3 linked regions of the Solanum lycopersicum genome follow. The protein of the gene in region 1 binds, or shares a complex with, the protein of each later gene. Links are inferred from orthologs where the notes say so. Each region holds a gene or a part of one and is shown in the gene's direction. Other genes may lie near its edges.

Region 1 (3,031 bases):
AACGTTTTGCTGCTGATTACAAATTAAAGAAATTATTACTATTGTATTTAATTTGAATTAATAGTTTGTTATTTCATAATTTTCTCAACATTAATTATTAATTATTTTTCTTTATTAGGTACTTTTTCTATTTCATATTAACAGAATATTTGAGAATTTTTTATTGTTCAAAGTAATTGAATCGTTGAAAATTTAAGATGAATATTTAATTTTTTTTCTATAGCCCTTTTCTTTCACTTTTGCGTTGACGTGATGTAATTGGTTGAATTTCATACAAGTACGTATAACACAAAATCTACAAAATCAGCTTTAAGAGGTGAAAATGTATAGTTCATTTTAGTTATTTTTAATTAATTAATATGTGTTTTAATTTATTAATATAATAATAAAAATTAAATTAATTTGATATAAATAATTTTTTTAAAAAAAAGTTTATATGATTTTAAATGTCCGATGCCATTCTTTTCCAAGATTCTCTCACCCAAAACATAAAAATTACTAACATTATGAACATAAACATAAGTTGATTAAATAGAAACATAGTGAATTAAAATATTTATGTACATTAGCAGATTAAATATATATTGACAAAAAAAAAATACAACATTTATGGTAAAGAACTTTTTGACTATTTTTATTTTGTTTTTTATCATTAAATTAATTTTAAATTCATATAGTAACAGAACGCTTGAATTCAAGAAATATTTTTTAAAAAATAATTTATCGCTCCATCACAATTGTAATTGCAATCTTTGATCATTTGAACATGCCTTACAGCAGTTCTTCTTTTGTTTTTTCAGTTGTGTTTGAAGCACAACTAAATTTAATACACAAAATTTATTTAAAATAAGAGAAGATGCCCAAGTACCCTTTCAACTTATGCCCGAAATCTCAGAGACACACTTATACTACTAAGGTCCTATTACCTCTTGAACTTATTGTATATGTAATTTTCTACCCCTTTTTAGCCTACGTGGCACTAGTTCAAAAAAAAAGTCAATCATCATTGGGCCCACAAAATAGTGCCACGTAAGCTAAAAAGTGGTAAAAAATTATTAATAAAATAAGTTCAGGGGTAATAGGACCTTAGTATAGTATAAGTGTGTCTCTGAAATTTCGAACATAGATTAAGGGAGTACTTGGACATTATCCCTTAAAATAATAATACTTCATATCTAGAACTCGAATTGATTGATTTAGTGAAGTGAATAGATATAATATCTTATCCTAAAGGCATCCATCTCATAGGATTATGGAGATGTTCATGGCCATTCAAAAGAAAGAGCGCCACCAAATCTCTTTCCCACTTCTCCAATGGATGCTCTCTTTGTCAATTCATCTCTCTCCCGACTCAAACTCAAATTCTCTTCTCAATTTCCTACATTCTCTCCCCTGCCCCATCACTCTTATCTCCCACTTAAAAAACTTAATTTACCACTTGTATTTGCCACGCTTCAGAACCAACACCAACAACAATCAGCAGCCGAAGAAGTAGCACAAGAAGAATTTGAAGATTACGATGCCGACGAAACGTATGGAGAAGTTAACAAAATCATTGGGAGTCGAGCAATTGAAGGTGGGAAAGGAATGGAGTATTTGATTGAGTGGAAAGATGAACATGCCCCTACCTGGGTTCCCTCTAATTTCATCGCACAAGATGTTGTCGCTGAGTATGAAACCCCTTGGTGGAACGCTGCGAAAAAGTCAGATGAATCGGCTCTTCGGGAACTTATTGAAGCCGAGGACGACAGAGATGTGGATGCTGTTGATGACGATGGACGAACGGCTTTGCTCTTTGTTTCGGGACTCGGGTCGGAGCCTTGCGTCAAGCTGCTCGCTGAAGCCGGCGCCGACGTCAATTACCGCGACAGGAGCGGCGGTTTGACGGCTCTGCATATGGCTGCAGGATATGTGAAGCCTGGAGTCGCTAAGCTGTTAATTGAGCTCGGCGCAGACCCCGAGGTGCAAGATTACAGAGGGCAGACGCCGCTGAGCTTAGCGAGGATGGTCTTGAATCAAACACCTAAAGGAAACCCAATGCAATTCGCGAGGAGATTGGGATTAGAGAATGTGATTAGGGTATTGGAGGATGCAATTTTTGAGTATGCACAAGTGGAGGAGATATTGGAGAAGAGAGGAAAAGGTGAAAATGTTGAGTATTTAGTGAAATGGAAGGATGGGGAGGATAATGAATGGGTTAAAGCATGGCTGATATCTGAGGATTTGGTGAGAGATTTTGAGGCTGGATTGGAATATGCAGAGGCAGAGTGCATCTTGGAGAAGAGAGAGGGTGACAACGGGAAAGGCGAGTACTTGGTTAAATGGACTGATATTGAGGAGGCTACTTGGGAACCAGAAGAAAATGTTGACCCCCTTCTGATAGAAGATTTTGAAAAAGGTCAACAGAAAGTAGTAAGTTGAATTCATGGTTTCTCTTTTGGCTTGTATTTTTCTTTTTCTGTGGTAATATAATGCTCTTTTGTTTTATAAACTATAGTTGTGGTAATGTATGTAATTCTGAGGTTGTCTAACAGGTTGAGGATAATTTCCTTTTAGTGATCCAAATCTGGAAAATTGAAGATCACCCTTTAGCATATCTTAATTCTTAAATGATACTAACCAATCAAATATTACGTTCTATTGGTGATTGTCCGAATCCTCTGTAAAGGTGGATGTTTTTAACAATTGAATTGATATCTTTGTTGAATGAAGTGAAAACCCTCTGAAGGGTCATGAAGAAGATTCTAGGAGATAGTTTTAAGTGAAAAGGTGGTGGTAGTTGTGAATTACTTTTGCAAAATGTGCCACTGCGGATTCATCCATGTCTGAAGCCGTAGTGGTGTTAGAATTCTGACTTCTGAGTACGCAGTCTGAAGCTGAGAGTTTTAGCAGACTTGTATTGTTGAGTTAGGTTTTGATGTCTGGCTGGCTGATAGCTTTTACCAATCTAATATTAGTACCTGAAGCTATCCCTATTTGAGGGAGTACTCCTATTCGAGGTTGTATGGATGATGTTTTCTGTTGTTTTGTA
Region 2 (4,272 bases), on another chromosome or scaffold:
ATATCACCTTGGGAATACATATCCATGATAAGGATAAGTTTATGATAAGCTTAATGGACAATCCATTTAATTCAATATATCTATAACAAGGGAAAGGAGTCAAATATGCCCTTAAACTATTCGAAAAGGTCTAGATTTATCCTCGATTTAAAGTTTGGTTCACTCATGCCCTCGCCGTCCAACTTTTGGTCCAAATATTCCCTTATGGGCGTTAGTTGTCATTTTCGACCCATAAATCAACTCCTTTAAAATTCACTATCCAACCCATTTTTAACAATTTTATTTAATTTTTATTTTTTTGGTAAATCCCGAAAAAATAATTGATTAATAAAAAATACGAAAAATATGTAAAAATATAAAACTAACGCAAAAAATTCACAAATAAATATAGTAACCTTAAATCTAACATTTTAATATTTTTTTAAATTTTTTTATTTTTTCGGTAAATCTCAAAAATGAGAAATTGACTAATAAAAAATATAAAAAGTATGAAAAAAATATAAATTAACGTCAAAAGTTCACAAATAAATATAGTATTCATTCTATAACTTTTCTAAAAAATTTCGGCAAATCCCGAAAATGAATAATTTATTAATAAAAAGCGAAAAATATGAAAACAAAATAAAAAATTTACGTCAAAATTCACAAATAAATTTAGTAACCTTAAATTCAATAATTTCAACAATTTTTTTGTTTTATATTTTTTCATATTTTCCTATTCTTTATTTGTGAATTTTTTGCGTAGTTTTTCTTCTTCTTATTTTTTGTTAATAACTCATTTTTGGGATTTGCCGAAAAATTTTAAAAATAAAAAAATATTGAAATTATTTAATTTAAGGTTACTGTATTTATTTTTTAATTTTTGGCGTTAATTTTATATTTTTTTCATATTTTTTATTAATCAATTGCTCATTTCAGGATTTATCAAAAAAAATAAAAAAAATTTAAAAAAGTGTTTAAGTTGATTTAAGGTTACTATAATTATTTGTGAATTTTTGGCGTTAATTATATATTTTTTTCATATTCTTCCTATTTTTTAATTAATCAATTACTCATTTTTAGAATTTATCGAAAAAAATAAAAATTAAACAAAATTGTTAAAATTGGTCGGATAATTTATTTAAAAGGTGGTTGATTTATGGGTTGAATTAGGTGTTTATGAGTCCGAATACCTTTTCATTTTATATAAATATCATGTGGTAAGGTCAAAATGACATGTCAATTACATGTGACATTTAAAAGAAATGAAAAATAAGTTGGATATGTCCAACATAACAACTAACGCCCATAAAACATATTTGGACCAAAAGTTGGATGGCAAAGGCATGAGTGAACCAAACTTTAAACGGAGGATATATCTAAATATTTTTAAATAGTTTAGGGGCATATTCCTTTTCCCTTATAATAATAAATACATTTTTTTTTAAAAAAAAAAAGAAAAATTAGTAGTTGTGGAGTAACCACAACGAAATACCAAACAAAATAACGGAATTTTAATAAGAAAAAAATGGATAGGGATATTTTTTCTCTTCTAATAGCTCTCCTGCCACTCATCCAATCCACAAATTTCCCTCTCTTCCATGAGAAGCTGAATTGAACTCTTCCCATTTTTCTCCGTTCATCCCCGCCGGAGCAATTTTTCCCATGGCGAAAACCTTAATTTCATCTCCATCATCGTTCATCGGAACTCCTTTGCCGTCGCTTTCTCGCCATGTATTTCACCGGCGAAGACTTATCTCTACTAGAGTGAAATTCAGCTTCCATGACCTTCCTCCGATTCACTCGCTTCACTCTAATTTTGATTTTGAAGCTGTTGTAAGCCGAGCGGAGGGACTTCTCTACACGTTAGCTGATGCTGCCGTCGCGGCTGATCCTGGTGTTGCTCCCGATGTTACTGCTGCCGGTACTGCTCAGAAAAGTGGTGGTTGGTTTGCTTTCATTTCTGACGCCATGGAAGTTGTGTTGAAGGTTAAATTTTGTAACACATACTTTTGAACTAATTATGATCATTGTTACGGTCTTTTGGATTTTATATAAGTTGGGCATATTCATAATAATGATTTCACTTGCTTCCTTGTGTCGTTATTTCATGTTTATATAACCTTTTAAGTTTCATATTAGGAATGAGAAGTTAGGAGAGGTGAAATACTTGAGGGAAGACGTAGATGTCCTAGTGAGAAGGTGTGAGCGGTTGGCAATAGCAGGCATTAGGAGAGATAGAGGCAGGCCGAAGAAGTATAGGGACCTAGTATTGTTTGACATCATGTTTCCTACTAAGATTTTGTCTAGCTACTAAACTTTTATGAACACTTTATCCGGATAGTTGTTGTTTGTGTTTACAGTTATTACTCTTGCCTTATACAGGTGTTCTATTTTTCTCCTCATTTGCGCCTTTATTCATTAAAGTCTACACTTTATTTATGCGTTGCAGTTAAAGTTCTAACAAACTTGAGGGTATGTTTCTTTTAAATGTATTTTTGCTTTTCACCTTTGGTAACACTTGAAGTAAACTAAACTTTTTTTTTGAATTTTTTTTCTACCTATTGAAAGACTTATCTATTAACTTTTGTCATCTTTCATATTAGTATAAGTCGACAACCAGATTTCCCCCTTATCATACCATCCACTATCCTCCTCCCCTTCTGTCTTTCCTCCCAATAAAGAAAAAGGAAATTAGTGGATGCTGAAGAAACCTTATCAAGATTATCATAGGACGACAGGTTGGTTATCTTCAATAGATCACATGGAGAAGTACAAGTACTGAAGCTTATTTTGTTTCAGTTCTAGATGCATTATTTTTTGGTTTTAGTTTTAAAAGACCTTCTTTTTGCAATACTGATACTATTATGCCTCATGTACTCTATATTCACTCATTCACTTCGGTCTTTTCAGGTGATGAAGGATGGACTGCAAGCTGTGCATGTGCCTTATTCCTATGGATTCGCAATCATATTGCTTACTCTCCTGGTTAAAGCTGCCACTTTCCCTTTGACAAAGCAACAGGTGAGTCTGTGATAAAGCTGCTGCTAGGCCTGGATGTTTTAGAGTTGGTCTGGTATTTCAGGTCTTGGCACTTAGTTAAGTCTATCTGGTATTATTAATAGTGCAATGGGATGAGAACTTAAATTAATATAACTGATTGTTTTGTCAAACTCAAGTCAACAGGAGTCCCTGTTCCTTTCTTCCTCATTAATTGTTAAATCACTGCAATGGAGTTATTGCTGATGTATGACATTATGTCATTTGAAAGGTTGAATCAACTTTAGCAATGCAAAATCTCCAACCAAAGATCAAAGCTATTCAACAAAGATATGCTGGAAATCAGGTGCACTCAAATTCATGTTGATTGATACTTTCTATTTCATCTTAACTTCTTTTCAGAACTATATGACTTTCCAAATTTGACCTATGTATGTGTATTCTTTGGTACTTAGTGCTGTAAAAAAGAGTGAAGTATGAGCAGATTGATACTGTAACTGTTACAACTTGCTTGTTAGATTTCAGCTTAATATGGGTACTTCAGAGTTTTTTTACTTTGTGTGGCCATAGTATTACTTCTCTTATCAAAAGAGAAAAGGACATTGCTTATGGTGATAAAAAAACTTGTTCAATAAAAGGAAAGGTGTTTCTAATGTTGTGAAGCTATACTAACAGAATTTTGATTGTTGTTGTGTCCTTTTCCGTGAGGTGTTTAGAAAACAAACTTACATTTTTTATCTTATCTTTCATTCAGGAGAGAATCCAACTTGAGACTTCACGTTTATATAAGCAGGCAGGGGTCAATCCTCTTGCAGGTAAGTTTTCATTGTTGCAGTCAGCGGTCTCTTCTCTAGTTATGCTTCCATTTGCTATTTCTGTTTGATCTACTTACTTGGTTTAAAGCATTGGGCATATATGTTATAAGAAACTTGCCATGGCTTTCTTTCCTAGCTAGTAGTGAAGCACAAATTATATCTCCTGGAGTTGTAAGAGCCATTTATCAGTTAAAGAATTAGTTATATGTTGATCCATAGTTTGTCCTTCTGTGGTCTAGGTTTTGCATTTTTAGTCTTATTTGAGTACATCTTAGAACTGGTTGCCTGGTGATATTCTTCCTTCCATAATTTGTTTGATCTGGATTTCAGTTTTATTCCTTGTCAATCTCTGGTTGTCTGTGGCATATGAAGTTGTCATTAAGTTAGTTCCTCATTCATAACTTTCATTTTATCAACTCCCTTTTGCCTTGTTTTTTGGTGTGTAAGTCTGATAATTTATTCCGTCGAAGCAGCACAA
Region 3 (4,300 bases), on another chromosome or scaffold:
CATTCCAAGTGATCAATCCCTTTTCTGGTATATGATCAAACAACTTCCTCGCTAACTCCATACACGCACAACGCACATACATTGTCAACAGGCAATTTGCAACAGCCAAATCATTCACCAATCCGCACTTAACATTCAAACAATGCAACGACATCCCCAACCACAGATACCGCGAAGCAGTACAACCTGGAACCAATCCCAAAACAGTAACCGCATTAAACAACACTCCTCTCAACCTCATTTCATCAAACAACAAAAACCCATTCAAGAAATTACCATTCTGAACATACCCAGAAATCAAAGCATTGTAACAAACAGTAATATTTCTTTGAGGCATTTCATCAAACACTTTCTGTGCAAACTCAGTTAACTTACATCTACAGTACATAGACATCAATGCAGTTTGAACAAAAGGCTCATACTCACAACCCAACTTGATAACATGACAATGAAGTTGTTTTCCGGTAATAGGAAGGGAGAGTGAAGCTGAAGATTTGAGAGCAAAAGGGAAAGTGAAGGCATTTGGGGTAGCTCCAGATTGAAGCATTTGACGGTAAAGAACGAGTGCTTCTTTGTACTGACCATGTTTTGAGAGATTTCTCAAATGGGTATTCCATGGAGTAGCAGCATTAGTAGTAAAGCTTGAAGCTTTGGTGAAAATGGTGGATTTGATAGTATGGAAAAGTGACAAGAATTTGGTGTTTTTGTGAAGGTGGAGATGTTCGGTCATTTATTTAGACAAAAAAGGGGTGAATCATTGCTTTAATGCATTTTTATATAACGTATTATCTGTTTTAGCTTAACGAATCTCATGAAATATTTTCTCAACCTATGTTATTATCGAGTCTAAAAACTTGCATGCATACACAATGGTCCGTTGAGGCGAGACATGTTCATAAGCGCGTTTCTCCTGATAAAATAGAAGGATAGTCGGTGTTGAAGCTCTGCTCTTCTTTGGATCTCAAGAAAGTGAGCGAATTTTAGTTTCTACGAAAGCATTTATATCTTCAGATGTGGTATAAGACTTCTGGTTCACGTAGGATTGAGATTTGAGACTGAGTCGCCTGATGGCTCAATGGAATTTCTTCTTCGAAGCAATCCCAGTCGTGCCATCCTCATAGATTTAGTTTTCGCTAAAATTTGTCCTACAATTTTAAATACATTTATGAGGTAGCTTGAGCAAAATTCACAAGAAAAACATGAATTTGAGCCGTGATAAATACTCTAACGATTGATTTAACGAATATATATATTTAAGTGTTCGACACAACAAAGACATAAGAATGTTAAATATAGAGGTTACAAATAGCAAAAAAAATTTTTTGAGTATATATCTATTTTTTTAGATTATATTTTGACGTCACTTAATAAGAATCATTCCGACGTTAAAAATAAAAATAAGTTGATGGAGTAGGATATTACGATAGCCTGCGATGCACAGAATACTGTAAAAATCCCCCTAGTAGATAGACCATAGATTACATTTTTGTTTTTTTTTCTAATGGATAAAGCATAAAAGAAGAAGAAAAAAGCTTCAATTTTTGCTTCTTCTTTTGATTGTTTGTTCTTTAATCCTACCATGGAAGCCACTGCTTCTTTCACTTCAACTATGGCTTCTCACCATTTCTTTCCACTTTCTAAAGCCACCCTTTCATCTTCTAAACTTAATCCCACTTGTAATTCTTCTTCTTCTTGGATTGGTTCTACTCATTCTCTTTCATTTTCTTCAAGAAATTCATTTACTGTAAGACCCTTTTGGATTTTGGTTAGTTTTTTTTTTTTTTTGTAGTTTTTGGTTAAAGATTGAATTTTTATGTAGAGGGATACATGGAGGGTGATCAATTCCAAGAATGTGGTAAGAAGGGAAATGAGTGGAGTTATTAGAGCTGAGATGTTTGGGCAGCTCACTAGCGGATTGGAAAATGCTTGGAACAAGCTCAAAGGAGAAGGTAAAAGCAAAAAAAATACTCTTTTTTAAATTTAAAAATGAGCTAGTTTTATGTGAAAATTTGAAGTATGGGAGCTTGAATTGTTAATCTTGAGTAGGTACATGTTAGAGTGTGTTAGAGTCGCATGTTGGTTGGTTGGGAATGGACCGGTGGTCTGTTATGTGGACTTGGACGATCCTCTCTTCGTGAGCTAACGTTTTGAGGTTGAGTTAGGCGTAAGTGTCATATCTTTATATGCTATCGTAGCTACTTAGCTAGGTTCATACCTGTTTGGACTCCCGGTTTATGCTCTAGTTAGGCATGAGGTGTTAAAGTGGGTTATAGTCCCAAATCAGTTTATATGGATTGGGTAATCCTTCCGTCGTGAGCTAGTTTTTGGAGTTAGGCCCGGGTGTCATATCTGGACTGTTTTGAAAGGGAACTGAAAATCGATACCTTGGATAGGGATGATAGTTCAAAAATATGACTTCAAGAACAATGTCTTCTTGTTTTTTCATATTCAGGATAATATCTTAAGATAATTCATTAGTACATCAGAGGTGTTTATTTGATGTCATCACAATTTCAGTTAAAGTAAATGCCTTTGCTAAGTAAAGGCTGTGAGATAAGATAGGAGTGAACTAAAGCTTCTTCAAAATGTGGCATGTAGTCATCCAAGGGTCATATCAATCTTGGTGAATGAGTTCAGCAAGACTTACAAAAAAAAATATAAAAACCTGGAATCGATCCTTAAATAGGAATTAAGTCTCATTTTACAAGATTTTAACATGCTGAAATACAAAATAAACACAACCTGGAATAGATCCTTAATTAGGAATTACGTCTCATATCCAAGATTTTAACATACATCAGAGCTGAAAATGTATCAGTGAGGAGTTCCTTTATGGATGTTGAGGCTTCGGAGATAGAGTGGGACAGGAAATCCCAGTATTTTATGCCCAAGCCAATTGATTCTTGAAGTGGTAAGTAGTTGAGCTAACCTTCTGCTATGAGAATGTTTTAGTGGAAATGTGGGCTGTCAGGACGGGGTGATGTGGAGATAGAAGCTATATAAGTTGGAACATGAAGCTTAATGTCTAGACTTAAATCCCGCGTGTTTAGAGGATTCAACAACATGACTGATTTCATTTTCAGGGTGGATGATGAGTTGTCGTAGATGGTAATATTGATCCATTCGAGGAGGTGCCAGATGGGGTATAATGAATTATACTTCAAGAGAAGAAACCGGGAAGATGTATAATTGATTGTTAAACTCCAATGAAGTGTATGGAAAGGGAAGGGGCCTTGCTACTATAAGGTTTTAAATGCAAAGAGTACAACATATTAACAACTATGGCCTATGGGTCATTGGATTTCTATAACAGGGATATACTTCTCCTTTTTAGTTCCATACATTATTGCTGGATATTATAAAGTTGTAGGAATAAATTAATTGGAGAGTATTTTACTGTTAAAAATGTGACTTGTCTGCCTTGTCCAAATTCAAATTTCTAATCATATTTTCTATATCCTCAATCTTTCAAATTTTAGAGGTTGAAGTTCTTATTGCCCTTGTTACTAAATATGTGGTTATATATAATGATAAAGTGGCTGTTGTTTGAATTCCTTGTGCCTCAGAGGTTTTGACCAAGGAAAACATCGTGGAACCTATGAGGGACATCAGGAGGGCTCTTTTAGAAGCTGATGTATGTTGCTTACTGTTTCAACAACTAATCTCTATACATAAAATTTCGCCGCTTATTTAACTTTAATCGGCAGGTTAGTCTCCCAGTTGTCAGAAGGTTTGTTCAGTCTGTTAGTGAAGAAGCCGTTGGCACTGGTTTGATTCGAGGTGTAAAACCAGATCAGCAACTAGTTAAGGTATGTATTTTTGAACTGATGACTCTGAACAATACACATTTGTACATTGATAACAGACGGTCACCCTTCTGTTGTTAATTGCTTGCACAATTTGCTATCAGCTCGATCTGAACATTTTCTTTGTCTCATTTGGTTGGTGTAGACTGTACGTGACGAGCTTGTGAAACTGATGGGTGGAGAGGTTTCTGAACTGGTTTTTGCTAAATCTAAGCCCACCGTAATACTATTGGCCGGTCTACAAGGTGTTGGGAAGACAACTGTTAGTGCAAAGTTAGCTTTATATCTAAAGAAGCAGGTGGACTTCCAAACTTCACCTTCTCCCTTTCCTGACCTTCCTTTACTTTCTCTCACTCCCCTCTCTCTTGCTCATTCTATTGCAATTTACATATATGGTCGTAGAACCTGCATTTCTCCAAGTGCCTTCTAATATTAGCATTTTCCCTTTTTCTCATTCTATTGTCAAACCATTTATGGGCACTGGTGGCATGGTC

Evidence for each region. The genes of interacting proteins can lie anywhere in the genome.
Region 2: the proteins of signal recognition particle 43 kDa protein, chloroplastic (region 1) and inner membrane protein PPF-1, chloroplastic are in contact, whole or in part, in a crystal structure (PDB 5E4W), measured with the Arabidopsis thaliana proteins. The link is inferred for Solanum lycopersicum from reciprocal best matches to the Arabidopsis thaliana genes CAO and ALB3. Residues at the interface, in NP_566101.1 of Arabidopsis thaliana: Asp273, Glu274, Asp312, Tyr313, Gly316, Leu317, Glu318, Tyr319, Ala320, Val321, Ala322, Trp343, Asp345, Met346, Thr350, Glu352, Asn356, Asp358; in NP_180446.1 of Arabidopsis thaliana: Lys454, Arg455, Ser456, Lys457, Arg458, Lys459, Arg460, Thr461.
Region 3: the proteins of signal recognition particle 43 kDa protein, chloroplastic (region 1) and signal recognition particle 54 kDa protein, chloroplastic are in contact, whole or in part, in an NMR structure (PDB 2HUG), measured with the Arabidopsis thaliana proteins. The link is inferred for Solanum lycopersicum from reciprocal best matches to the Arabidopsis thaliana genes CAO and CPSRP54. Residues at the interface, in NP_566101.1 of Arabidopsis thaliana: Glu268, Tyr269, Ala270, Glu271, Val272, Lys283, Val289, Trp291, Glu298, Trp299, Val300, Lys301, His304, Val305, Ala306, Val309; in NP_196014.1 of Arabidopsis thaliana: Pro532, Gly533, Thr534, Ala535, Arg536, Arg537, Arg539, Lys540, Ala541, Asp542, Ser543.

What each region holds. Positions count from the first base shown.
Region 1 is NC_090801.1:66,170,889-66,173,919, forward strand, and holds signal recognition particle 43 kDa protein, chloroplastic, read left to right. Parts: upstream 1-1,314; coding exon 1,315-2,421; 3' UTR 2,422-2,531; downstream 2,532-3,031.
Region 2 is NC_090810.1:57,205,605-57,209,876, forward strand, and holds the start of inner membrane protein PPF-1, chloroplastic, read left to right. Parts: upstream 1-1,472; 5' UTR 1,473-1,644; coding exon 1,645-1,968; intron 1,969-2,892; coding exon 2,893-3,003; intron 3,004-3,250; coding exon 3,251-3,325; intron 3,326-3,733; coding exon 3,734-3,794; intron 3,795-4,272. UniProt on the Arabidopsis thaliana protein: Required for the insertion of some light harvesting chlorophyll-binding proteins (LHCP) into the chloroplast thylakoid membrane.
Region 3 is NC_090808.1:3,907,497-3,911,796, reverse strand, and holds the start of signal recognition particle 54 kDa protein, chloroplastic, read left to right. Parts: upstream 1-1,500; 5' UTR 1,501-1,579; coding exon 1,580-1,744; intron 1,745-1,819; coding exon 1,820-1,949; intron 1,950-3,083; exon of another isoform or gene 3,084-3,566; coding exon 3,567-3,634; intron 3,635-3,707; coding exon 3,708-3,809; intron 3,810-3,951; coding exon 3,952-4,104; intron 4,105-4,300. Other genes in the region: putative pentatricopeptide repeat-containing protein At3g11460, mitochondrial, read right to left, coding at 1-730.